Linked DNA regions of Macaca fascicularis. The protein of the gene in region 2 purifies or fractionates together with the protein of the main gene of each other region. This does not show direct contact. Links are inferred from orthologs where the notes say so. Each region holds a gene or a part of one and is shown on either strand. Other genes may lie near its edges. The genes, in order: HNRNPR, HNRNPH1, DDX5, HNRNPU, HNRNPDL, COPRS and TARDBP.

Region 1 (3,500 bases), on a different chromosome or scaffold from region 2:
TTTTATGTGGAGTTATGAAGACCTACAGGCAGAGAGAGAAACAGGGGAGCAAGGTGCAAGAGTCCACAAAGGGACCTGATGAAGCAAAGATCAAGGTAAAACTTGGGTAGTTGTAATGAAATTGCATTTAATGATGAGGTCAAATGCTTCTTTCCATATTTCCTAGAAAGTTTCACTTTTTTTTTTTTTTTTTTTTTTTTGAGACGGAGTCTTGCTGTGTCGCCCAGGCTAGAGTGCAGTAGCGCAGTCTTGGCTCACTGCAAGCTCTACCTCCCGGGTTCACACCATTCTCCTGCCTCAGCCTCCCGAGTAGCTGGGATTACAGGCATGCACCACCACACCCGGCTAATTTTTTGTATTTTTAGGAGAGACAGGGTTTCACTATGTTGGCCAGATTGGTCTCTATCTCCTGACTTTGTGATTCGCCCACCTCGGCCTTTCAAAGTGCTGGGATTACAGACGTGAGCCACCACGACTGGCTGAAAGGTTCACTTTTTAAAACTGGTGTTTAGAAGTGAAATAATTTAGAGGAATTACATAAGAAGGATAATTTTGGGGGTCAGCACTCAATTGCATGTTTAATGAAAAGCCCTACTTCATACTCTTCCTCATTCCCTGTTTTGTGGTGATGAATGACGTGTATTTATTGATGCTTCTGCTGGTAGTTTCTTGGATTGATCCAGTAATGTCTCTTGGTTCAGTTCAGTTATTTTCCAGCCACTTTGTTTCTTTTCTTTTTTTTTTTTTTTTTTTTTTTTTTGAGACGGAGTCTCGCTCTGTCGCCCAGGCTGGAGTGCAGTGGCCAGATCTCAGCTCACTGCAAGCTCCGTCTCCTGGGTTCACGCCATTCTCCTGCCTCAGCCTCCCGAGTAGCTGGGACTACAGGCGCCCGCCACCTCGCCCGGCTAGTTTTTTGTATTTTTTAGTAGAGGTGGGGTTTCACCGTGTTAGCCAAGATGGTCTCAATCTCCTGACCTCGTGATCCGCCCGTCTCGGCCTCCCAAAGTGCTGGGATTACAGGCTTGAGCCACCGCGCCCGGCCTGTTTCTTTTCTCTTGATAAAAAGGTGTTACAACCGCTTTCCTCCTTTTGAATTTTCAGTTACCTTGGTTTCTTTATTTGTAAAATGGGAATGGTAATAGTGACTACCTCACAGAGTTATTATAAGGAGTAAATGAATTAACATATTATAAAGCACTTAGAATAATGCCTGGAATGTAGCAAGAACTATGTAACAGTGAACTGTTATTATTATTACCATTTTATTACTTAGATAAACAGCTTTGAAAAGTATATATACAGCTTTTAATGAAAGACCAGTGAACTTAATTCGTTAGTTAAATGGATGGATGTTCGTGTCTTGCTATAGTGATATACTTTTTTTTTTTTGAGACAGAGTCTCGCTCTGTGGCCCAGGCTGGAGTGCAGTAGCACCATTTCAGCTCACTGCAACCTCCGTCTCCTGGGTTCAAGCGATTCTCCTGCCTCAGCCTCCTGAGTAGCTGGGACTACAGGTGTGCGCCACCACACCCAGCTGATTTTTTTTTTTATTTTTTGGTAGAGTCAGGGTTTCACTGTGTTAGCTAGGCTGGTCTTGAACTCCTGACCTTGGGGGATCTGCCCACCTCACCCTCCCAAAGTGCTGGGATTACAGGTGTGAGCCACCATGCCTGGCCTGTGATAGACTTTTTGATTAGAAATAGTTATTTGGTGTTGAAGTTATTTCTGTTATTATTACATTGTAATATGTAATGAAATAATCATACAACTCACCATAGTGGAGAATTAGTGGGATCCCTGAGCTTGTTTTCCTGCAACTAGATGGTCCCATCTGGGCATACTGGGACGTAGTGACAGATCTTCAGGCATTAGATTCTCATAAGGAGCATGCAACCTAGATCCCTTGTATGCGCAGTTCACAATAGGGTTCACGCTCCTATGAGAATCTGATGTGGTTGCTGATCTGACAGGAGGCGGAGCTCACAGCTCAGGCAGTAATGCCAGCGATAGGGAGGATGAGGAGCGGCTGTAAATACAGATGAAGCTTTGTTCTCACTTGTCCACTACTCACCTCCTGCTATGCAGCCTGGTTCCTAACAGGCCACGGACCAGTATGGGTCTGTGGCCCAGGGGTGGGGAGACCCCTGTTTTACATTACATTTATGGCTCTGTTTCAGTCAAAGGTAGAAGAATGGAAGGCTGAAGGTATGCATCCCTGTGGAATCCTAGTGTTCACCGAACTTGATGATATCTAAAGTCTCTTGCCGTTCTGACAATGTGTGATTTTAAAAACCTGGCCGGGCGCAGTGGCTCACGCCTGTAATCTCAGCACTTTGGGAGGCTGAGATGGGCGAATCACGAAGTCAGGAGATCGAGACCATCCTGATTAACATGGTGAAACCCCGTCTCTACTGAAAATGCAAAAAATTAACCAGGTGTGGTGGCCCATGCCTGTAATCCTAGCTACTTGGGAGGCTGAGGCAGGAGAATGGCACGAACCCGGGAGGCGGAGCTTGCAGTGAACCGAGATCACGCCACTGTACTCCTGCCTGGGTGACAGAACAAGACTCTGTCTCAAAAAAAAAAAAAAAAAAAGGTACACTAGAAAGACAGTGGGGGCTGGGCACAGTGGCTCATGCCTGTAATCCTAGCACTTTGGGAGGCCAAGACAGGTGGATCACTTGAGGCCAGGAGTACCTGACCAGCCTGGCCAACATGTTGAAACCCCATCTCTACTAAAAATACAAAAATTGGCTGGACATGGTGGTACATGCCTGTAATCCCAGCTATTTGGGAGGCTGAGACAGGAGAATTGCTTAGACCCAGGAGGCAGAGGTTGCAGTGAGCCGAGACGATGCCACTGCACTCCAGCCTGGGCAACAGAGCAAGACTCCATCCCCCCCCCAAAAAAAAAAAGAAAAAGAAAAGAAAGACAGTAGGAAGAAATGGATGTGAGAGTAATAGTAAATGAGAGAAGCTGCATGGAGGTAAGACTTAATGCTGAATTATTTTTTTAAGGATAGAGAACATTTTATTTGAAAAGACTCACCAGTAGAAACGTGTGGGGAACCAGTGTGAATTTTGACTTTGTTTTACCTAACCATAAAAATATATCTCCTAGGAAGTTGGAGTACTTTTTGGAAAAGATTAATATACTGATGCTTGTGTGTTAGATTTAGTATTCAAGTATAAAGAGATGTATAATTATCTCTAGGCCTTGCTTGAGAGAACTGGTTATACTCTGGATGTAACCACAGGACAGAGGAAGTATGGTGGTCCTCCACCAGACAGTGTGTACTCTGGCGTGCAACCTGGAATTGGAACGGAGGTAAGTGTTCTTTAGCTGTTTACCAAGATCTTTCCAGTTTGGAAAGTGTTTTATCTACTATGCAGATACTATACAGATGGGGGAAAATTCTTGATCCGTTTCAAAGTTTAGCTGTTGTTATTTTTTAGATATCCATGTGTATTTTGCTGCCATCATGAGGATAGATAATCTT
Region 2 (4,173 bases):
TGTCTCAAAAACAAAAGCAAACAAAAAAACCTTCTTTCATTGCCAGACATGGTGGCTCATACCTGTAATCCCAGCACTTTCTCTGGGCAGCTGAGGTGGGATGACTCCTTGAGTCCAGGAATTCAAGACCAGCTTGGGCAACAAAATGAGACCCCATTGCTACAAAAAGAAAAATAAAAAAGTTATCTGAGCAAGGTGGCACATGCCTGTGGTCCTACCTACTCAGGAGGTTGAGGCAGGAGGATTGTTTGAGCCCAGGAGGTAGAGGCTGTAGTGAGCCATGTTTGCACCACTGCACTCCAGCCTGGGTGACAGTGAGGCCGTTTCTCAAAAATAAATAAATAATAAATAAAAAATAAATATTTAAAAACCTTGTTTTAATATGTTGGACAATTTATATATAAGAGCATTGGCTATAAATGTATGAAATTTATTCTACCTCACTACTATTTTTTTTGAGATGGAGTTTCACTCTTGTTGCCCAGGCTGGAGTGCAATGGCATGATCTCAGCTGACTGCAACCGCTGCCTACTGGGTTTAAGCAATTCTCCTGCCTCAGTCTCTCCAAGTGGTTGGGATTACATGTATATGCCACCATGTCTGGCTAATTTTTTTTTTTTTTTGAGAGGGAGTCTTTCTCTGTTGCCCAGGCTGGAGGACAGTGGTGTGATCTCAGCTCACTGCTTCCTCTGCCTCCTGGGTTCAGGTGATTCTCCTGCTTCAGCCTCCAGAGTAGCTGGGATTACAGGCGTGTGCCACCATGCCCAGCTAATTTTTGTATCTTTAGTAGAGATGGTGTTTCACCATGTTGGCCAAGTTGGTCTCAAACTCCTGACCTCAAGTGATCTGCCTGCCTCGGCCTCCCAAAGTGCTGGTATTAGAGGCGTGAACCACCGCACCTGGCCAGAGTCTCTCTTTTTGATTACCTCAGCCAAAGTGTTTTCTGAAATGGTACCACAGATATGTGCTTCCAGTTCCGTTTGTAGTAGAGGGCATGGCATGTACCGTCATTCACCCTGCCTGCTCCATCTGCATTCCCCTCACATCCAGCAAGTTTTCCTTTGCATAGGGCTTATTGCTCCCCTGCTGATCACCTGCCAAAGCCTTCTCTCGGAGTTAACATCCTTGCCAAGGCCTAAGTGGCTTTTGAAGATCAGGCCCTGCTTAGCTCTGGGCTCCCGTCTTTCTTTTGATGTCCTCTCTACTTTTCTCAAACCTGTCAAAACTGGATTCGGACTCTGTGGCCCTGGGGTTGGAAACATGCTTCGTCTGCATCTTCCCAGGGTGGCACTTAGGCCTGCACTAGCTAAGGTAGCCCTGCGGCAAGGTCCAACCCTGCCTTATTGTTAATTTGTTTATTGTCTGTGTCCACTAGAGCTGGGGTGAGGAGGGCAGCCAGATCAGACCTGGGGAGGCCTGGGAGGCTACGGCATCTTCGGTGTTGGGCAGTGCTGTTAGAAACCACGAACATTACTCATCTGGCAGCATGTGTGCACATGGGGTGAGCCGGGGGTCTCCTCGAATGCGGCGTCTACGCCCGGGGATTGGACGCACTGTTACCGATTCTGTCCTGGGAGATTCAGCGGTAACCTACCGGGCAGAGGCCGGCACGCACCCGTGGAGAAGCCCGCGCTCGCGATTCCTCCTCGTGCCAGGGCCCCAGGGCACGGAAGGCCCACCGACCGTGAGGCGGGTCAAGGGGTACACAGGGTGCGAGTTCGTTAGGCAAAAGCTGGGTACAGGCGCGAGCCACAGGCACGGGAACCTCGCGCCGACCGGGGCCCTAGGCCCGACGACCGCAGGTAAGGGGAAGTGGAGGCACACATGGCTGGGACGTGCCCCAGGCACCATCCGGGTGGCTTCGGGCGCGGGACGTCCGCAGCCCCGCAGCTCCCAGGACGCTCGACCATCTGCGGCTGATCAGCTTCGGCCGGTTTGGGGATAAAGGGGAGACAGGCGGCGCGGGGAGTGGGAACGCCTGAAGGCCGCGCCTCTCCTTTCAGGTCGGCCAGGAGCGCACCGGTAAGAGCCAGGGGGTAAGGGGTAGAAAGACGCCCACCTCTTCAACCCAGAGCTCGGGACTCCTATACAGTCCCATAGGGAACAGGCGGCCGCCATTCCCCTCCCCCACGCTGGCGGGTAAGGCTAGAGAACGGTTTCAAGGAAGACGCATGCGCATGAAACAATTATAAACCGCTAAGACTCCCAAGTTCAATATTCGCGGGAAGGCGCATGCGCAATAAAAAGCCCGGCGGCTTTATGGGTGGGGGTGCTGCGCCCAAAACCCAAGCGTGTAATAATCCGCCGGCGGACGGTGGGCTGGCTCTTGAAACTACGCATGCGCCAGAGCTCTTTGTGACGCAACGGGGCGGTGCGGGCAGCTGGCTGCGCGTGCGCAGAACTCGCACAAAGGGCCTTATTTAGGTTGCGCAGGCGCCCGCTGGCCATTTCGTCTTAGCCACGCAGAAGTCGGGTTTCTGGGTGAGTCTCGGTGGGTCCTCGCTTGCAGTTCACCGACCACCGTGGGCGCCGTTTTTGCGAGGATTGGTTGTCCTCATACCTCTGGGAGGGCCACGGGGACCTTGGCGAGCTGCGGGCTGCCATCGAGAGCCGCGAGTGGTTCGCTGAATGTCGGCACCGCAGCTGAGGCCTGCAGGCCGCGCCGACTCTATTGTGTGAGAAGTCGGAGGAGGCGGAGCGGAAGCGGCCGCCGCCATTTCCTTTCCTCCACGCTGGCTCGGCCCGGGCCCCCACGGTTCGGGGCGCCGACGGTTGCTGCTCAGAACAGCTTTTGGGGGTCCGGCCGCCGGACGAGGAGGTGTTGGGTATTGGAGCCGCCGGGGTGGGTGCATCCCCCCGGTTTTTGCTTGGTGGGGGGGCCGGTGCGGGCCCGGGGGCGCCTCGGAGGCGGAGGACAGCTTAATTGGCGCTCTCAGGTCTGGTCCTCCCCGCCTTGCAGTTTGTTTCGACGCCGGACCGCGTAAGAGACGATGATGTTGGGCACCGAAGGCGGAGAGGGATTCGTGGTGAAGGTCCGGGGCTTGCCGTGGTCTTGCTCGGCCGATGAAGTGCAGAGGTTTTTTTCTGGTGAGTTAGAACTAGGACGCGGGAGTTCGAGTTCGAGGCCGGGGCGGGCGGGCTGGCGGGCAGCCGGGCTGGGGCGGGGCGGGGCGGCGGGACCCGGGGCGCCCCCTGGCGAGGCGCGGGCGACTGCACTCACCGCCGTGTGGCTCGCGCCCGGCCGGCCGCGGTTACGCAATGGAATTTTCGAAAGCCCCGCCCGTCCTCCTGGCCCTGCGGGGGGAGTGCGGCAGATCTGGCAGACCCTTTGATTTCTTTACTACCTTTGAACACCAACTTTTCTTTTATGGATGTCGTTTTTCTTTTTCCTTTGTGTTGGGAGTCTCTGTCACCCAGGTTGGAGTGCAGTGGCGCGATCTCGGCTCACTGCAGCCCCCGCCTCCTGGGTTCAAGCGAGTCTCCTGCCTCAGTCTCCCGAGGAGCTGGGACTAGAGGCGCGCACCACCACGCCCGGCTAATTTTTGTTTCTTTAGTAGAGACGGGGTTTCACCATTTTGGCCAGGCTGGTCTCGAACCTCTGGACCTCAAGTGATCAGCCCATCTCGGTTTCCCAAAATGCTGGGATTACAGGCGTGAGCCACCGCGCCTGGCCCCGGTGTCTTTTTGCGAAAAGATGAATTGGCATAGGTGGGTTTCCTCCTCAATCTCGAGAAAATTGCCGAGTAATTAGACCAATAATAGTAATGTTTTTCAGTATCTTGAAGTGTAATCTCTTGTTTCCAGTTCTGGTGTTTCCTTGAAAAGGAGCATTCTTCGGAAAGTTAAAATGTCACGTCTTAATTTCAGTTTTCCTAATCAAGATTTGGTAATTGAAGAGTGTTTGCTCATCTAGTTCTTAATTTGGCTGGCTATACAATTGAAAACACTGAAACCCAGGGAAGTGTTTTTGGAGTCCCTAGGTTTCCTGAATATTTTCTATCAGAATGTCCTTGTTCCCATTATTAGACTGGGAAAAATTAGACTGATAAAATTCTACTTGTATGAAATTGACAGCTTTTGGCAAGACGTTTGTAGTGTTGACTTACTATCTGAATTTAGCATTGGTAACGGAAAACGACCTGTAAAACAAGAACCAAGTACACTGGAAGCCAC
Region 3 (4,177 bases), on a different chromosome or scaffold from region 2:
TTAAAACATGTTTACAAGTAAACAGGAATATTATGTCATAAGCAACAGTTTAATAATAATCTGAAGTTACTAGACAGTCATTAATAAAATATGTTGCTTCAAACTCCCAACAGTATTGGTCATGTGTTTACCCAATTATCTTGTGCAAGTCAGGATTTCTCTGGTGCCCAAATAAGTGGTGATTAAACTTAGGCTGTTAAGAACTGGCATAATGACAACATCAACACTAATGCATTTCTTAGTTTTTCTTTTTTATTATATTGATCTACATGAAACAAAATATTGGAAGTACATGAAGCTCAGAATTATCAATACTGTTGACGTTTCCTGCATACCACATTCTCCTCTCCCCTAGATATTGCTGGGATTTGCGAAGTTTAACAGTTTCTCTACCAAAAGCAACTTAGCTTAAAATACTTGTTCCTTGAAATGCCTGACGATTGGTAGGAAAGCACTGGCAATCGATATTAGAAACAAACATCTCCACTATGTTCTGGACACATGACGTTCTGGAAACGAATGAGAGTGTATCTTCCAGGCACATAATCCCCCCTCTCCAAGCCCATTTCTCACAACTGGCCAAACCATGACAACTGGTTTGTACGCAGTCCTAGTGAAAAGGATGAAAGCGTCCTAGACAACCAAATTAATTCGCTCTTCAAAAGCGGTGCTAGACAAAGCCCATGACTCTAGAGGGCACTGAAGAGAAAAAAGCACCACTATTCTTCTGTGGCAGGGGCATGAATAAACCTTAAGAGTGCCGTTCCTTTAAAGACCACTACAAAAGGAGGTACGACCTCAGGGCCCATAGTGCAAGGGAGGAGGGCACATGGACAGCGGCTAGACGCCCCACAGAAAGACAAGTCCGAGGACGACCCTTCTGACTGCTCTTTTTGCAGCCAGGACCCGAGCGTCCTACCGGCCTCGCCCCAGTGCCTCTCTCCCACCTCATACTGCTGTTCCACGGCCTCAAAGCGAAGAGGGGGTGAAGCTGAGAGACCCTATCCAGAGAACCCGCCACCGCGACGCAGCGTCTGACAGTAACGAGCCCCGCCGACACCCCAGACCCAGTCCGGGCTAGCCCGAGGCCTCCCTGAAGGTGGACAGTTTCAGTAAACACACACCGCGACCCCAGGGAAACACTCACCAGCCTCCGAGCGGGCCATGTCTCGGAAGCAGGTCGCCGCCGGACTCCGACGCTGCCAGACCGGCGACGGTGTCCTGCAAGGACCGAACGCAGAGCAGACGCTGGGGGGCGGGCGCACGAACTAAAGCGCGGGGAAGGAGGCGTGAAAGAGGGAGGGACGTTAAAAGAACTTCTCGCCGCTGATTGGTCATCAGAGGAGCACTTCCTTTCACAGCACGTGCCACGGAAGCGGTTTGGGAAGTTTAGAGACCATTCTCCGCCGGCCAAAACCCGTCACAGGATTGTCAGACCCGTGGGTCGGACGGTCCAAGTTAGCCGGCAGCTGGGGGCGGGTCCCGGGTGCTGGCAGCGCACTTCCGGTGAGCTATTTCGTTATGTATCCCTCCGCCGACGTCAACGGGGAAGTAGTGCGGCCCCCTGTCACGGTGGGCGGTGGGGGGGTAACGTCACGTGACAACGCCAGGCCCCCGCCTTCCCTCTCATTTGGTTACAGGCGTGAGGGCTCTTTGGAGACGTAAACACCTCCGAGTGGGGAGGGTGGGCGGGCTTGGGCTGGCTGTTTTATCGTCTGGCTGGGCTTGGGAAAGGGCAGGGTGGCTTTCTTGAGGTGTGGAAAGACGAGAAGAAGGTGAGGTCAAGAGAGTGGAGAATGAGGCATTTCAATGGTGGGTGGGCCCTGACCTGAGAGAGCGGCACGGGGTGGGGTGAAAGCGCGGCGATCGCGGAACGCCGGCGGGCGTTGCGGCCTCTGCGCGAGGGGCGGGGCGATTAGGTCATAGAGCGGCTCCCAGCGTGCCTTGCGGCGTAGGAGGAGGTCCAGACTATAAAAGCGGCTGCCGGAAAGCGGCCGGCACCTCATTCATTTCCACCGGTCTCTAGGTGTGCAGCTTTGGCTGGTGTCATCGCCGTCACTCCTCCGCTGCCGCCCCCGCAAGGCTTCGCCGTCGCCGAAGCCATTTCCAGCGACTCGTCGCACCCTTTTCTATCTACTTCGTTCCCCGCCAACCGCAACCATTGACGCTATGTCGGGTTATTCGAGTGACCGAGACCGCGGCCGGGATCGAGGGTGAGTGTGGGAGCCGAGTTGTCAGGGCTGGCGGGTGGGGGATGGGAGGGCGGGTCAGGGTGGCGGCGGGCCGGGGCTTTGCGGCTTGGACTCGGCCTTTCCGGGCTATCTTGGGGCCTCCTTTCCCGAAGGCTTGCGCCATTTTGATATTCACGTAACAGTGAGTGGGAGAGATTTGACGGGATAGTGTCTTCATCCTCGCTTTTTGTGTGGGGGTCGGGGAGCCGTCGGGGCGGCTGCCATTTGGTAGCTGTTGAGGGAATTCAGAGGGAGCGCATTGTTCGGATGAAAGCGCGACGCTTCGAGGCAGACGAAGGAACAGCTGTTAGGTGCGGCCTTTCGGGAGGTGTTTTTGGGGTGGTCGGGCATTCTGTGGGAGCGAAGGGACCACCTCCAAAGCCACTGGTGCTGTGGGGGTAGGAGGGCGGCCGGCATCAGCCATGTGGCTGAGTCGCGGGTATAAAATGCCGGCCTTGGACATGGCGGCGGCGCCTTTGTTACTCCGCCCGGCGGAGGAGCTCAAAATGGCAGCGTCGAGAAAATGTGGCGCAGAGAGAAATGCGAGACAAAGGGGGAAGCGCCGCCCCAGCGGGAACGCCGCCCGGCCGGCTCCGCCCGGGCCGGGACTCCTCCCCCGGTAGTCGCCGGCTCCTCCTTTTCTTTTTTCCTGCGTTATATAATTTTAATTCGTTGATCCGGAGCTCTACCGCGGCGTCCCCCCAGCTCGGTTTGCTAGCAGAAGTGTTTCTAAACCGTTGTTTCGTTTTCGTTGTCTGTGCTGTCTAGATTGTTGACATCAAAGCTCTTTGGCTTGAAAACGGCCATATGAGTAACATCGTTGTGATGCTCTTCGGTTCATGTAGGCTTGTTATCACTGATAATGAATTGCTAGACTGGTGAGAAAGATAATAGTAACCACAAGAAGTGGTGTGTAATACTAAATTCTGGCATCTGGGTGACAAGTTTTCGATATAGTAAATCCCAGGCTGTTTACGTGGCCTAAGTTGTGTGTACTTGGGACTACGGGAAACGTTAACTGTGGCTGTTGAGAGAGAGATTATCACTAAGGACAGTGCTAGGTTTACCTCTCGAAGTCGGCTTTCAGTGATCTTTAGCTTGTGCCAAGGGATGGTAAACAAATCTGTCCAGAAACCTAGGTGTAGCCATTTGAAAATGTAAATAACTTTTTTTCTTCATTCCAGGTTTGGTGCACCTCGATTTGGAGGAAGTAGGGCGGGGCCCTTATCTGGAAAGAAGTTTGGAAACCCTGGGGAGAAACTAGTTAAAAAGAAGTGGAATCTTGATGAGCTGCCCAAGTTTGAGAAGAATTTCTATCAAGAGCACCCTGATTTGGCTAGGCGGACAGCAGTGAGTAAATTCATGTGGCTTCATCAGGCTGTAACTCAATGGAGTCTAGTAAATGAAATTCTGACAGGTGTTTTGCAAATAACTCAATTTTGGTAGAGTTACGTTTTCTGACTTCATAATTGGGAAAGGTGTGACTCACTTTTGCAAATAGGTGGCTTTGGGAATTTTTTTTTTTAGATTGAGTATAGCAGAATAAACGGTTTTTTTGTCATATAGGGTTTTCATACGCGGTTCCAGATTAAAATGAAGCTACTTTAAACTAATTACTAAATTATGAAGTTACGGACTTGCCAATTACGTATTTAGTTAGGGGTGGTTGTCATGAGCTTTAAGACTGTTATAATTTGTTTTGCAGCAAGAGGTGGAAACATACAGAAGAAGCAAGGAAATTACAGTTAGAGGTCACAACTGCCCGAAGCCAGTTCTAAATTTTTATGAAGCTAATTTCCCTGGTGAGTGCTACTTTTCAGTTCTACCCTACCCCTGTGTTTTTGTTTTCACCTACCTCCTCCTTTCCTTGGCATCACTAATTTTTGTTAAATATCTGTCACTAATTATAGCAAATGTCATGGATGTTATTGCAAGACAGAATTTCA
Region 4 (3,500 bases), on a different chromosome or scaffold from region 2:
ATTTGTAAGAGTGTAAATGTAAAACTCTTTCTTACTGGAATGTCCTTTACAGAAGGTTGAGATAGTCATCTGAGCCTTTTTGAAGTAAAAAACTGCAGGTGAAAAAGGAGTTAGTTGAATTGAAAGTTTTATGTGAAATTCTGGGTTGTGTAAATAAAAAGTTGCTAGGAATTGGCAAGGTAGTGAAGTGGTGACTCATGCAGGTAATGTAATTGTTAGATTTTTTAGCAAATCAGATAGGCATATGTCAATATAAACACAATGTTGAATTCAAACAATCTGTTGAATTAAATTCTGCTGATTACAGTAATTCTAATTTAAGAAAAATTCCAAACTGTAGATTTATTTTTCTCTGATCAGTAAAAAAAAAATTGAATTCCAGCTTGACTTTAGCTGTTGAAGTGAGAAGTCTGAGAAGGTGCATGTTAATGAGCCAGTGACCCATAGGTAGCTAGGTTAAAGACACTTTGGATTTGGATAATCCGGGAAGCAGTTAATCCCTAATTGTTGAACAGGCAGTCCTGGGTAAAGAGGACCTAAAATGCTGCACTATTAACAGCATTAGACGGCCAGGTTTGTACTTCATAGATTTAGGCTGTCTTCTTCACAAGTTTTAGAAGAAGAATTTAGGAGCTAGAGCCCTGGTGCAGGATCAACAGCAGCTCATACTCCTGTTTCAAAATAATTTGGTCGTGGCCTCCCTTCAGTTTTAATGTGGCACTGGTAAATCTACCTGGTTCTGGCATGCTTCACTTTGATTTCCTGCTATCCTCTACTGCTTGCCTCTAAATCAAGGTAAAGAGCAGAGCAGGTATGTATTAATGTCACATTGTCTTGATTATTTTAAATACTTAAAATATACATGTTAAACCTTGGTATTAGTTTCAGAGGCAGTTTACTTTTCAGTACATAATTTAAAAGGAGTGACTTGGTGGGAGTGGGGCTTTAAACTGAAAATTGGAACAACAGCATGATGTGGAGAAAAGTTGTGCAGCGTTAAGTACATGCAAAAATTAAATAACCAAGTTTTCTCTACATAGCATATATGTTTACATTGGATGTCAAAAGTAACACAGTATTTGATATAATTACAGATAATTGTGATCTACATTTTAAAATATCAAGAGATCGTCTCAGTGCTTCTTCCCTTACAATGGAAAGTTTTGCTTTTCTTTGGGCTGGAGGAAGAGCATCTTATGGTGTGTCAAAAGGCAAAGTGTGTTTTGAGATGAAGGTAAATGCAATTTTATGATGTTTTTGTTTGATTTTGGAGACAGAGTCTCACTCTGTCCCCTAGGCTGGATTGGTGTGGTGTGACCCAGGCTCAACTGCAACCTCCTCGTCCTGGGTTCAAGTGATTCTTCTTGCCTCAGCCTCACAAGTAGCTGGGACTATAGGCACGTGCCACCACACCTGGCTAATTTTTGTATTTTTAATAGAGAACGGGGCTCCTGACCTCAGGTGATCCACCCACCTCGGCCTCCCAAAGTGCTGGGATTACAGGCTTGAGCCACCGCACTTGAGCCAGCCTTTTTTTTTCTTTTCTTTTTTTCTTTTTAAAATAGTGACAGGGTCTCACCATGTTGCCCAGGCTGGTCTTGAACTCGTAAGCTCAGGTGATCTGCCTGCCTGGGCCTCCCAGAATACTGAAATTACAGGTGCTTCATACTGCTAAGTTATCAGAGGTACTTATTTTTTGAAGCTTCCTGTAAATTAAAAGAGGAACTTGGAACCTTCATTTTGTTGTGACAGTTAAGTTATGTTAGAACTTGACATGCAGAGCTAGGCAACTTTTTATTTAGGGTACTTCATTTTTATCAAGCATTTGAAAGGGCCACCAAAGAGTGAAAAATAAAATTTGGTTAGATTACAGGTTTTGTTGGCGAGAAAAACATTAAATGTATCCTTTAATTGGCTTTAAGTTGAAGACTGACAACATGAACTGTAAAAATATTAACTATTCTTTTAAGTATGGGTCAAATAAGTATTTAACATTTCAAGTTATAAGCACATCAGTTTAAAGTTCTTACAAATATTAGGGATGGGCTAGAGTGTGCCATCTCTTTGTATTTATAGCTCGAGGAAGATTAGCTCATGACCCTATGAAATAAGCCAGAGTTAAGGGGTTACCTCCTTGGTTTATGATTTTAATTATTTAATGATTCGACTTTCAGGTTACAGAGAAGATCCCAGTAAGGCATTTATATACAAAAGATATTGACATACATGAAGTTCGTATTGGCTGGTCACTAACTACAAGTGGAATGTTACTTGGTAAAGATTCTTTTTGACTGATGTGGGCTCATGAATGTTTAGGAGGGTCTGATATCCTTATTTTTTAACCAGACTAGAAGGCATTCTAAGCCTTTTGTCTGTTTTTATCTATTCTGTTAATACTTCAGACAAGTAATATTAGCACATAGTAGGCACAGGCTACATTTTAGTTTTTGTTCCTTTATTAGAAGTTTATGGTTGAAATAAAATCTTACCCATGATATGCAAATTGTCAACTAATTTGGTCTCTGCATATATATATATCCCTCCTAACTTTCATCAATTCTAGTACAGAGGTAGAAAAGTAATAGTGTCAGTGACAGGTGATTAGGTTATATGCTCATTTCTCTTGTAGCCTACATTTTAAGTAGTGAAATAGATGAGTCTTTGGACTATTTTAAAAATCTGCTTCACGAAGGTTAATTACTTTCTTAGGTGAAGAAGAATTTTCTTACGGGTATTCTCTAAAAGGAATAAAAACATGCAACTGTGAGACTGAAGATTATGGAGAAAAGTTTGATGAAAATGATGTGATTACATGTTTTGCTGTAAGTTAAAGCTAACTTTCTATGTATAAATGGCAAATTAGTAGCTATATCTAGGAACTTTTAAGAAGCTTTATTAAGGTCAATCTTCAATAGGAGCAACATAAATACACCAGTCCCTGGGTTAGTATAAATACTCATTCAGCAGTTGAATTGGGAAAATACAGGACATTTTTGAGGAACTCACTAATTTCATTTTGACTGAAAACAATGAAGATGAAATTGACCTAGAAAATTTAGTCTAACTTCTAGGTCACTATTGTTTCTGGTTCTGGAGATCCGTGCTTCATTGTTTGTAACCATCAGATTTCTTAACTGTGTAGCCCTTAGAGGCCACTTAATAGTTGTTTAACCTGTAGCTCCCACAGGATAAGCTTTGCTCCTAATTTTAATTATTAGTTTTTTAGAAAGTTTACAGGAAGCAGATAACTTGAATTTTTTGCTGTTTAACAGAACTTTGAAAGTGATGAAGTAGAACTCTCCTATGCTAAGAATGGACAAGATCTTGGCATTGCTTTCAAAATCAGTAAGGAAGTTCTTGCTGGACGGCCACTCTTCCCGCATGTTCTCTGCCACAACTGTGCAGTTGAATTTAATTTTGGTCAGAAGGAAAAGCCATATTTTCCAATACCTGAAGAGTATACTTTTATCCAGAATGTCCCCTTAGAGGATCGAGTTAGA
Region 5 (3,427 bases), on a different chromosome or scaffold from region 2:
GTTTTATCACATACACCGATGAAGAGCCAGTAAAAAAATTGTTAGAAAGCAGATACCATCAAATTGGTTCTGGGAAGGTAAAGCCATTTAAGTACTTTAAATGAAAATTTTAAGGATTTCTTTTTTCTTTTTTTTTTTTTATCTTTTAGTTTTTGAAATTTCTCAATGTGTTTGAGAAAAATAAAATGATTAAATTTTAGAACTTGAGTAAAAATTCTATTTTCGTGTTTTTTAATTTGTTTATAGTGTGAAATCAAAGTTGCACAACCCAAAGAGGTATATAGGCAGCAACAGCAACAACAAAAAGGTGGAAGAGGTGCTGCGGCTGGTGGCCGAGGTGGTACGAGGGGTCGTGGCCGAGGTGAGACTTAATTCTTGGAATATGACTCCATGGTTTAAGCTGTATACTGCTAAATATGAGTAGTCCTGTACGAAACTAAAACTTTAAACTTAAAACAATTCCAGCGGGAGGAAAATGTTCAGCTTAGTGGGGGTTGTGTGTGGTGGTTTTTGTTGTGAGCTCACTGGTTTCAAAAAACTGTTAAAAGTATGGCCATTTTGACAATTAGTGTCATCACTGACAGGAAAAGTGTACCATTACATGATGCGCCATGGCGTGATGGGTTTTCTTGGGCAGGAGTCCTTGTTTTAAACAGAACAGTATACCTGTCTTCAGCTTTAATGGAAAATTGAATGATTTTCCATTAAATTTAGGAAGTTTGATACTGGCACAATTGGACTTTCTGCCCCCCTTTTTTAATAACAGCTGGAAGAATAGTTTTTCAAGCAGATAGTGCTATATATGTCCATTCTGCCCTTTAAGATTTGCAGAGTGAGAGACAAGAACGCATCATTTTATGTTAGAATTGGGGGTCAGAAGTTGTTTCCTAACAATCATTGTGCATTGTTTCAGGTCAGGGCCAAAACTGGAACCAAGGATTTAATAACTATTATGATCAAGGATATGGAAATTACAATAGTGCCTATGGTGGTGATCAAAACTATAGTGGCTATGGCGGATATGATTATACTGGGTATAACTATGGGAACTATGGATATGGACAGGGATATGCAGACTACAGTGGTAAGAATATTTAACTTAATTTTATAAACCAGTGGTATTAAAATTCATTGTTAACATACAATCCTGTTCTGAAATTGTGTGTACGGGCTTTCTGTTTGGAGTTAAGTGTTTGAGGCATGTTACAATCATAGGGTGATTATACTAACATAGTCTGGTGGTTATAAATGAACTAGGATGTATGATTTACGACTAGCTTATAATGGGTGTTAAAATATCTTAATATTTTAATACTTTTTATTTAGCATGCAAAGATTTGTAGATTTAATCATTTCTCAGTGTGTTTGTAAAGAAACAGTTTTGTAGAAAACTATCTTAATGAAATTTCTGTGTTTTCAAAATAGGTCAACAGAGCACTTATGGCAAGGCATCTCGAGGGGGTGGCAATCACCAAAACAATTACCAGCCATACTAAAGGAGAACATTGGAGAAAACAGGTGTGTATAAGAGTACAGGAAAACAGTAGAAATGTCTAATTTAATTTAAAGATCAATAGACAAACGTAAAAACAAAATACTATGTAGCTTGTTCTTACTAAATTGTTGATTTTTTTTAATTGCTTTATGAGCCTGTTTTGCCTAAAGTGTCTATAGATCTTTAACTTTAAAGTCTTATCTCACTTTCTTTAGTATTGCAGAAAAACTTAAGAGTTTTTCTGTTTGCTTTTGTGTACCAGGTGGTCTAGAGGAATAATTAAACATTTTAGAACTATTAACAGGTAAAGTACTGAAATGGGTACAACTTAAGGAAAACAAGAATGTTGTCTTCTAACTCTGACATTATACCTTGTTTGTACCCGCCAGCGGGAACTTCATTGCAGGCCGTGTGTCACCCTGACCACGTCTATCTCTGGGGGTCGCACGTTGCGGGCAGAGCGCAAGGCATACACCAGAAAACGCTGTCCTGTGGTATGGTCTCTTCCAACTTCATGTACCAGCGTAAAGATTAAAGTGGAAAACTTCAGACTTTGGCTTCTTTTTTAATCTTTTTGGAGATTAAGTGTCTAAACTTAACTTAAATGGTTTTTTACAGGAGTTAAAATACATAAATGCCTTTTTACAGCTTAATCATTTTGGTCTTCTGTTTAGTGTTGTATTTCAATTGTGGAGCCTCATTTTAAGTGTTCATTCTTTTAAGATTTAATGCTTGCTTTTTCTTTTTATAGCTAATAGTGAAATCTACAAACCAAAACAAGAACTTTTAAATCTGGGATATAAATTAAAGATCATATGCACAATTCAATTTATGTTCTTGTAATAAGCTTATTAGAAATTGGTGTTTGTGATAGCATTTTACTTGGGTTACTAGAGATGCTTCTAGTAGACCTTAATCTAGCATAGTTGAACCTGTGAATATGGGAAGATTGTATTCCCAGATTCTTTCCTGAATAGATTTGAATTTATTATTATTTGGGAACTCCAGGGTGAGTTTATTGACTAACCAAACTGTATTTTGCCAATAAATATGCATATGATCTTTAATTATTGAAGAAAAGAATAAAGTGAGGACTTAAAACAGTTCATGAAAGTGGACCTTTAAAAGCTTGTCAGAGTTGCACAAATCTAATTGGTATTTTGTTTTTGTTTTTAGGAGGAGATGTTAAAGTAACCCATCTTGCAGGACGACATTGAAGATTGGTCTTCTGTTGATCTAAGATGATTATTTTGTAAAAGACTTTCTAGTGTACAAGACACGATTGTGTCCAACTGTATATAGCTGCCAATTAGTTTTCTTTGTTTTTACTTTGTCCTTTGCTATCTGTGTTATGACTCAATGTGGATTTGTTTATACACATTTTATTTGTATCATTTCATGTTAAACTTCAAATAAATGCTTCCTTATGTGATTGCTTTTTTGCGTCAGGTACTACATAGCTCTGTAAAAATGTAATTTAAAATAAGCAATAATTAAGGCACAGTTGATTTTGTAGAGAGTATTGGTTCATACGGAGAAACTGTGGTCCTTTATAAATAGCCAGCCAGCATCACCCTCTTCCCCAATTTGTAGGTGTATTCTATGCTCTTAAGGCTTCATCTTCTCCCTGTTAAGTGAGGTTTCTACCACACCTTTGAACAATGTTCTTTCCCCTCTGGTTATCTGAAGACTGTCCTGAGAGGAAGACGTAAGTGTTGTGATTAGTAGAAGCTTTCTAGTAGACCATGTTTCTTCTGGATTGTAATAAAATTGTTAGCTCCTTTTACTTTGTGCCTGTCTCTGGAAAGCCATTTTTGAATCGCTAATTACTTTGGCTTTAATCAGTGGTCACCTGGTAAAAGCTTTGTAATCATAACACAATCACTTAATTCTTGATAAAAATTCAGATGCACACAGGAGCACTGTAAAACT
Region 6 (2,579 bases), on a different chromosome or scaffold from region 2:
AGGCGGATGGATCACAAGGTCAGGAGTTCAAGACCAGCCTGGCCAAGATGGTGAAACCCCATCTCTACTAAAAATACAAAAAAATTAACTGGGCATGGTGGCGGGCACCTGTAATTCCAGCTTCTCAGGAGGCCGAGGCAGATAATTGCGTGAACCTGGGAGGTAGAGGTTGCAGTGAGCTGAGATGGCGCCACTGCACTCCAACCTGGGCTACAGAGTGAGACTGTCTCAAAAAAAAAAAAAAAAAAAAAGCAAAATCTTAATTCAAGCTTGTATTGTGAAAGCGTATTATTTATCAGAGGCCCTTTGCCTCAGTGACAGACATGCAAACCACCTGAAAATGTTAACTGTCCCTAGCTCTCTTTGTAAATTAAAGGACCTGGCAATTAATGGTCTTGTATAAGACAAAACATCTTATTGAAAATAAGTTGGCCGGGCGCGGTGGCTCAAGCCTGTAATCCCAGCACTTTGGGAGGCCGAGACGGGCGGATCACGAGGTCAGGAGATCGAGACCATCCTGGCTAACACAGTGAAATTCCGTCTCTACTAAAAAATACAAAAAACTAGCCGGGCGAGGTGGCGGGCGCCTGTAGTCCCAGCTACTTGGGAGGCTGCGGCAGGAGAATGGCGCAAACCCGGGAAGCGGAGCTTGCAGTGAGCTGAGATCCGGCCACTGCACTCCAGCCTGGGCGACAGCGCGAGACTCCGCCCCCCCCCCCAAAAAAAAAAAAAAAAAAAAGAAAATAAGTTATCAGGTCTTTTAAAAACATACACAGAAGAGCATTTTTTAAAAAGTGCTCAGGTGGCGAAAGAAGACTCTGTGTACTTGCTTTACTACCTTCCTAGTAAGTCTGCCCAAAATTGACTGAGCACACAGCAGGTCCTCTTTGGTTTGTCACTAAGGCCATCTTCTCTTTGTCAATTTAGCCCGTGGAGCACAGAGCGTCCCTAATGACAGTCCTGCCCGGGGTGAGGGCACCCATTCTGAAGAGGAAGGTTTTGCCATGGATGAGGAGGACTCTGATGGAGAACTGAATACCTGGGAGCTGTCAGAAGGGACAAACTGTCCACCCAAGGAACAGCCTGGTGATATTTTTAATGAGGACTGGGACTTGGAGTTGAAAGCAGATCAAGGGAATCCATATGGTAGGTGTAGAGTCTCTGGGGGTCCTGAACCAGGCCTTCTCAGACACACCTGTCAGACTAGCGCTGAAGGCAGACAGTTTGGAACAGGGGTCCACATCTATGAGCTTAGGCTGGTATCTGTTACAGGTCTGCAATTTCTGTGACACCTCTTTTATATTGAAAAAAATACATTTGACTTCGTAATGTATCACTGTTTTAACATCAAAACTGTCACTGTCTCCAAAAATGTCTGCTATGAATTGAGCAGCTGCAGATAGAAGTGCTGTGTTATCCAGTTTGCTTCCTCTCCACTGCTAAGAACCCTTGTCTGAGAAGCACAGCTTCTCAGCTGTTCAGAATGAATGCATTTACAATTCTTCAGGAAAGGAGAACTGTGTGTGTTTTTAAACAAAATAAGTGCAAGGATCTGTCCCCTAGGCATACTTTGTGGCTGTCCATTTTTACCTTCCTTCCTTCCCTCCTTCCTTCCCTTAATCTGTCTTTTAAAACTGCCTGCAGATGCTGACGACATCCAGGAGAGCATTTCTCAAGAGCTCAAACCTTGGGTGTGCTGTGCCCCACAAGGAGATATGATCTATGACCCCAGCTGGCACCATCCGCCTCCACTGATACCCCATTATTCCAAGATGGTCTTTGAAACAGGACAGTTTGACGATGCTGAAGATTGAGTGTGGAGCTTTCTGCCTTGTAGGTGGGCGGGCCTCCACGTCAAGATCTCTTTTCCTGTCTTGGAGGTGAAAAGTGGTATCTGAGAAAACGTTCTCAGTGACCCCTAGTCTGCAGTACACAGACTAGTTCTTTATTGAACAGTGTTCAATAAGGCCCCGTCGTTCTCCCCAGTCTGTTGTTGTTACTAATGGGCTCCTCCTTGGAATGTGTATGTTTGTGTCAAGAGGAGTTGTGTTCTTTGTAAATAAAGGTGAAAAAAAGAAACTAGTATGCTTCGTCTGCTTTTTTCCCATTTATTTATTTATGGAGACAGTCTCACTGTGTCAGCCAGGCTGGAGTGCAGTAGCACAAACTTGGCTCATTGGAACCTCCACCTCCTGGGTTTAAGCGATTTTTGTGCCTCAGCCTCCCGAGTAGCTGGGACTGTAGGTGCATGCCACCACACCCGGCTAATTTTTTGTGTTTTTAGTAGAGACGGGGTTTCACCACGTTGGCCAATCTGGTCTTGAATTCCTGGCCTCAAGTGATCCACCCACCTTGGCCTCCCAAAGTGCTGGGATTACAGGTGTGAGACACTATGCCCAGCCTTCACTCCTTCATTTAAAGTCCCTGAATGACGTTTTAAAGATTGAAACGCTTGGAGGCTTAAAACTACTTTGTGAAAGAAAAAAAAATTGCCAGGCGCAGTGGCTCAAGCCAGTAATCCCAGCACTTTGGGAGGCTGAGACGGGCGGATCACGAGGTCAGGAGATCGAGACCATCCT
Region 7 (3,500 bases), on a different chromosome or scaffold from region 2:
AGGTACTTGGGTCTGTGCTTTGGGATTTTTTGCTGACAAACTTCCTTAGAAGATTGTAAGATAAAATGTAAACACACTTAGAAAAGATAGTGGTAGGGTGTGTTCATGAAATCCTTTTGTCTTGTTGAAGTCTTTGGCCCTTAATGCATGCTGAATATTTTATGCTTGTTTGAAATATTTAGTTTATTACTTCTCCAAATGAAACCTTTGTTCATTTTGTTCTTCCTTTTTGTTATGCATGGAAAAGAGGAAAGATTATTTGTCAAGTTAACAGTTTCTTACATAGTTATATGTTAAAACATAAAGACAATCAGAATACGTACATTAATCTTGTTATAAAGACCTTTTTCCAAGCAAACAAATAACATTTGCTTATTTGGAACATCATCATCTTTGCCAGGAGATTGCGTATTTATTGATTTTCTCAAATCCAAATACAGTCATGCGTCACATGGCAAAGTTCATCAGTCAGCAGCAGACCACGTGTACAGCAGTGGTCCCATAAGATTATAACACTGTTTTTATGGTACCCTTTCTTTTTTTTTTTTTTTTGAGACGGAGTCTCGCTCTGTCACCCAGGCTGGAGTGCAGTGGCCGGATCTCAGCTCACTGCAAGCTCCGCCTCCCGGGTTCACGCCATTCTCCTGCCTCAGCCTCCCGAGTAGCTGGGACTACAGGCGCCCGCCACCCCGCCCGGCTAAGTTTTTGTATTTTTAGTAGAGACGGGGTTTCACTGTGTTAGCCAGGATGGTCTCGATCTCCTGACCTCGTGATCCGCCCGTCTCGGCCTCCCAAAGTGCTGGGATTACAGGCTTGAGCCACCGCGCCCGGCCTTATGGTACCCTTTCTATGTTTAGATACACAGATACTTACAATCATGTTACAGTCAGTCACCTACAGTGTTGAGTACAGTAACTTGGAAGTTTGTGGCCTGGGAGCAATAGGCTATACCATCTAGCCTAAGTGTGGGGTAGGCTGTGCTATCTGGGTTTATATGATGTTTGCACAATGACGATCTTTTGTTTGTTTGTTTGTTTGTTTGAGACAGTGTCTCACTTTGTCGTCCAGGCTGGAGTACAGTGGTGCGATCTCAGCTCACTGCAAGCTCCACCTTCTGGGTTCACGCCATTCTCCTGCCTCAGCCTACTGAGTAGCTGGGACTACAGGCGCCTGCCAACACGCTTGGCTGATTTTTTGTATTTTTAGTAGAGATGGGGTTTCGCCATGTTAGCCAGGATAGTCTTTTATTTTTTATTTATTTATTTTTTTTTTTGAGATGGAGTCTCGCTCTGTCACCCAGGCTGGAGTACAGTGACCGGATCTCAGCTCACACTGCAAGCTCCGCCTCCCGGGTTTATGCCATTCTCCTGCCTCAGCCTCCCAAGTAGCTGGGACTACAGGCGCCTGCCACCTCGCCTGGCTAGTTTTTTGTATTTTTTAGTAGAGACGGGGTTTCACCGGGTTAGGCAGGATGGTCTCAATCTCCGGACGTTGTGATCCGCCCGTCTCGGCCTCCCAAAGTGCTGGGATTACAGGCTTGAGCCACCGCTCCCGGCCGCCAGGATGGTCTTAATCTTCTGGCCTCATGATCTGCCCAGCCACTGCGCCTGGCTTTTTTTTTTTTTTTTTTTTTTTTTTGAGACGGAGTTTTGCTCTTGTTGCCCAAGCTGGAGTGCAATGGCGTGCTCTTGGGTCACTGCAATCTCCGCCTTCCAGGTTCCAGCAATTCTCCTGCCTCAGCTTCCCGAGCTTCTGGGATTACAGTCATGCACCACTATGCCTGGCTAACTTTGTATTTTTAGTAGAGATGGGGTTTCTCCGTGTTGGTCAGGCTTATTTTGAACTCCTGACCTCAGGTGATCCACCTGCCTTGGCCTCCCAAAGTGTGGGGATTACAGGCGTGAGCCACTGTGCCCGGCCTTTTTTTTTTTTTTTTTTTTTTTTTTTTTTTTTTTTTTTTTTGAGACGGAGTTTTACTCTTGTTGCTCAGTCTAGAGTGTAAAGGTGCAATCTTGGCTCACTGCAACCTCCACCTCCTGGATTCAAGTGATTCTCCTGCCTCAGCCTCCCAAGATGCTGGGATTGCAGGCACCTGCCACCACACCCAGCTAATTTTTGTATTAGTAGAGCTGGGGGTTCACCATGTTGACCAGGCTGGTCTTGAACTCCAGACCTCAGGTGATCCACCCGCCTCGGCCTCTCAAAGTGCTGGGATTACAGGCGTTCACCACCACACCTGGCCACAATGATGAAATTGTGTAATGGCTCATGATGTATTTCTCAGAACATATGTCCATCGTGATGTGATGCATGACTGTACTTTTGTAACTTAAAACGTTACTCTTCACTGAAGCCTTTTAAGAAAAAAAATGCTGATGCAAAAAATGAAGGGTATGTCTACTTTTTAATGATTCACTGCTATCCAAGGCAGAATGATTTTGTTATATCCCTTACCTTAATGCTTTTTTCATTGTTCATAACATATTTCTGAGTTTTTTTTTCTTCCTTTTGATTTGATCAGCAAAGCCAAGATGAGCCTTTGAGAAGCAGAAAAGTGTTTGTGGGGCGCTGTACAGAGGACATGACTGAGGATGAGCTGCGGGAGTTCTTCTCTCAGTACGGGGATGTGATGGATGTCTTCATCCCCAAGCCGTTCAGGGCCTTTGCCTTTGTTACATTTGCAGATGATCAGGTATTTTTCTCCTTAACAATATGTCCCGACCAGGCGTGGTGGCTCATGCTTGTAATCCCAGCACTTTGGGAGGCTGAGGTGGGCGGATCACGAGGTCAGGAGATCAAGACCATCCTGGCCAACATGGCGAAACCCTGTCTCTATTAAAATACAAAAAAAAAAAAATTAGCTGGGTATGGTGGTGCACGCCTGTCGTCCCAGCTACTCTGGAGCCTGAGGTAGGGGAATCACTTGAACCCAGGAGGCGGAGGTGGCAGTGAGCTGAGATCACGCCACTGCACTCCAGCCTGGTGACAGAGCAAGACTGTCTCAAAAAAAAATATGTCCCAGGTAATTAGGTAATTTCTCTTGAACATTTCCCATCCAGCTAATTGCTAGTCTTAGCTGAGTTTTCTGACCTTGTAAGATGTAGGGTGTATGGGCCTAGACGTTTGTGATACCTGTATCTGATATCCCAAATGTAATATTTTTAAAAAATCTAAAAGTAAGTATACCTTTAGATAGTTTTCAGTATGTGGCATTTGGGAATGTTATATACCATTTTTTGTTTTGTTTTTTGTTTGAGATAGAGTTTTGCTCTTGTTGCGCAGACTGGAGTGCAGTGGCACAATCTCGGTTCACTGCAACTTCCACCTAATGGGTTCAAGCAGTTCTCCTGCCTCAGCCTCCCAAGTAGCTGGGATTATAGGCGCCTGCTACCACGCCTAGCTAATTTATTTGTATTTTTAGTAGAGACACGGTTTCACCATGTTGGCCAGGCTGGTCTCAAACTCCTGACCTCAGATGATCCGCCCACCTCAGCCTCCCT

What was found.
Region 1: the proteins of HNRNPH1 (region 2) and HNRNPR fractionate together in Homo sapiens (co-fractionation; 3 studies listed by BioGRID and IntAct, with this or other methods). This does not show direct contact. The link is inferred for Macaca fascicularis from reciprocal best matches to the Homo sapiens genes HNRNPH1 and HNRNPR.
Region 3: the proteins of HNRNPH1 (region 2) and DDX5 purify together in Homo sapiens (affinity purification with mass spectrometry; 4 studies listed by BioGRID and IntAct, with this or other methods). This does not show direct contact. The link is inferred for Macaca fascicularis from reciprocal best matches to the Homo sapiens genes HNRNPH1 and DDX5.
Region 4: the proteins of HNRNPH1 (region 2) and HNRNPU purify together in Homo sapiens (affinity purification with mass spectrometry; 4 studies listed by BioGRID and IntAct, with this or other methods). This does not show direct contact. The link is inferred for Macaca fascicularis from reciprocal best matches to the Homo sapiens genes HNRNPH1 and HNRNPU.
Region 5: the proteins of HNRNPH1 (region 2) and HNRNPDL fractionate together in Homo sapiens (co-fractionation; 3 studies listed by BioGRID and IntAct, with this or other methods). This does not show direct contact. The link is inferred for Macaca fascicularis from reciprocal best matches to the Homo sapiens genes HNRNPH1 and HNRNPDL.
Region 6: the proteins of HNRNPH1 (region 2) and COPRS purify together in Homo sapiens (co-immunoprecipitation; 3 studies listed by BioGRID and IntAct, with this or other methods). This does not show direct contact. The link is inferred for Macaca fascicularis from reciprocal best matches to the Homo sapiens genes HNRNPH1 and COPRS.
Region 7: the proteins of HNRNPH1 (region 2) and TARDBP purify together in Homo sapiens (affinity purification with western blotting; 3 studies listed by BioGRID and IntAct, with this or other methods). This does not show direct contact. The link is inferred for Macaca fascicularis from reciprocal best matches to the Homo sapiens genes HNRNPH1 and TARDBP.

Annotation. Positions count from the first base shown.
Region 1 is NC_088375.1:211,786,354-211,789,853, forward strand, and holds part of HNRNPR (heterogeneous nuclear ribonucleoprotein R), read left to right. Parts: coding exon 1-95; intron 96-3,214; coding exon 3,215-3,328; intron 3,329-3,500. UniProt on the Homo sapiens protein: Component of ribonucleosomes, which are complexes of at least 20 other different heterogeneous nuclear ribonucleoproteins (hnRNP). hnRNP play an important role in processing of precursor mRNA in the nucleus.
Region 2 is NC_088380.1:186,467,459-186,471,631, reverse strand, and holds the start of HNRNPH1 (heterogeneous nuclear ribonucleoprotein H), read left to right. Parts: upstream 1-1,373; 5' UTR 1,374-1,802; intron 1,803-2,442; exon of another isoform or gene 2,443-2,842; intron 2,843-2,959; 5' UTR 2,960-2,990; coding exon 2,991-3,087; intron 3,088-4,173. UniProt on the Homo sapiens protein: This protein is a component of the heterogeneous nuclear ribonucleoprotein (hnRNP) complexes which provide the substrate for the processing events that pre-mRNAs undergo before becoming functional, translatable mRNAs in the cytoplasm.
Region 3 is NC_088390.1:71,096,259-71,100,435, reverse strand, and holds the start of DDX5 (probable ATP-dependent RNA helicase DDX5), read left to right. Parts: upstream 1-1,377; 5' UTR 1,378-1,506; exon of another isoform or gene 1,507-1,775; intron 1,776-2,026; 5' UTR 2,027-2,169; coding exon 2,170-2,213; intron 2,214-3,415; coding exon 3,416-3,581; intron 3,582-3,936; coding exon 3,937-4,033; intron 4,034-4,141; coding exon 4,142-4,177. Other genes in the region: CEP95 (centrosomal protein of 95 kDa), read right to left, coding at 1,148-1,166. UniProt on the Homo sapiens protein: Involved in the alternative regulation of pre-mRNA splicing; its RNA helicase activity is necessary for increasing tau exon 10 inclusion and occurs in a RBM4-dependent manner. Binds to the tau pre-mRNA in the stem-loop region downstream of exon 10.
Region 4 is NC_088375.1:4,318,098-4,321,597, forward strand, and holds part of HNRNPU (heterogeneous nuclear ribonucleoprotein U), read left to right. Parts: intron 1-1,094; coding exon 1,095-1,234; intron 1,235-2,174; coding exon 2,175-2,274; intron 2,275-2,709; coding exon 2,710-2,822; intron 2,823-3,272; coding exon 3,273-3,500. UniProt on the Homo sapiens protein: DNA- and RNA-binding protein involved in several cellular processes such as nuclear chromatin organization, telomere-length regulation, transcription, mRNA alternative splicing and stability, Xist-mediated transcriptional silencing and mitotic cell progression.
Region 5 is NC_088379.1:51,444,950-51,448,376, forward strand, and holds the end of HNRNPDL (heterogeneous nuclear ribonucleoprotein D-like), read left to right. Parts: coding exon 1-77; intron 78-246; coding exon 247-361; intron 362-913; coding exon 914-1,084; intron 1,085-1,425; coding exon 1,426-1,496; 3' UTR 1,497-1,518; intron 1,519-1,884; exon of another isoform or gene 1,885-2,671; 3' UTR 2,672-2,927; downstream 2,928-3,427. UniProt on the Homo sapiens protein: Acts as a transcriptional regulator. Promotes transcription repression. Promotes transcription activation in differentiated myotubes. Binds to double- and single-stranded DNA sequences. Binds to the transcription suppressor CATR sequence of the COX5B promoter.
Region 6 is NC_088390.1:38,091,665-38,094,243, reverse strand, and holds the end of COPRS (coordinator of PRMT5 and differentiation stimulator), read left to right. Parts: intron 1-927; coding exon 928-1,146; intron 1,147-1,644; coding exon 1,645-1,814; 3' UTR 1,815-2,079; downstream 2,080-2,579. UniProt on the Homo sapiens protein: Histone-binding protein required for histone H4 methyltransferase activity of PRMT5.
Region 7 is NC_088375.1:223,784,474-223,787,973, reverse strand, and holds part of TARDBP (TAR DNA-binding protein 43), read left to right. Parts: coding exon 1-2; intron 3-2,521; coding exon 2,522-2,692; intron 2,693-3,500. UniProt on the Homo sapiens protein: RNA-binding protein that is involved in various steps of RNA biogenesis and processing.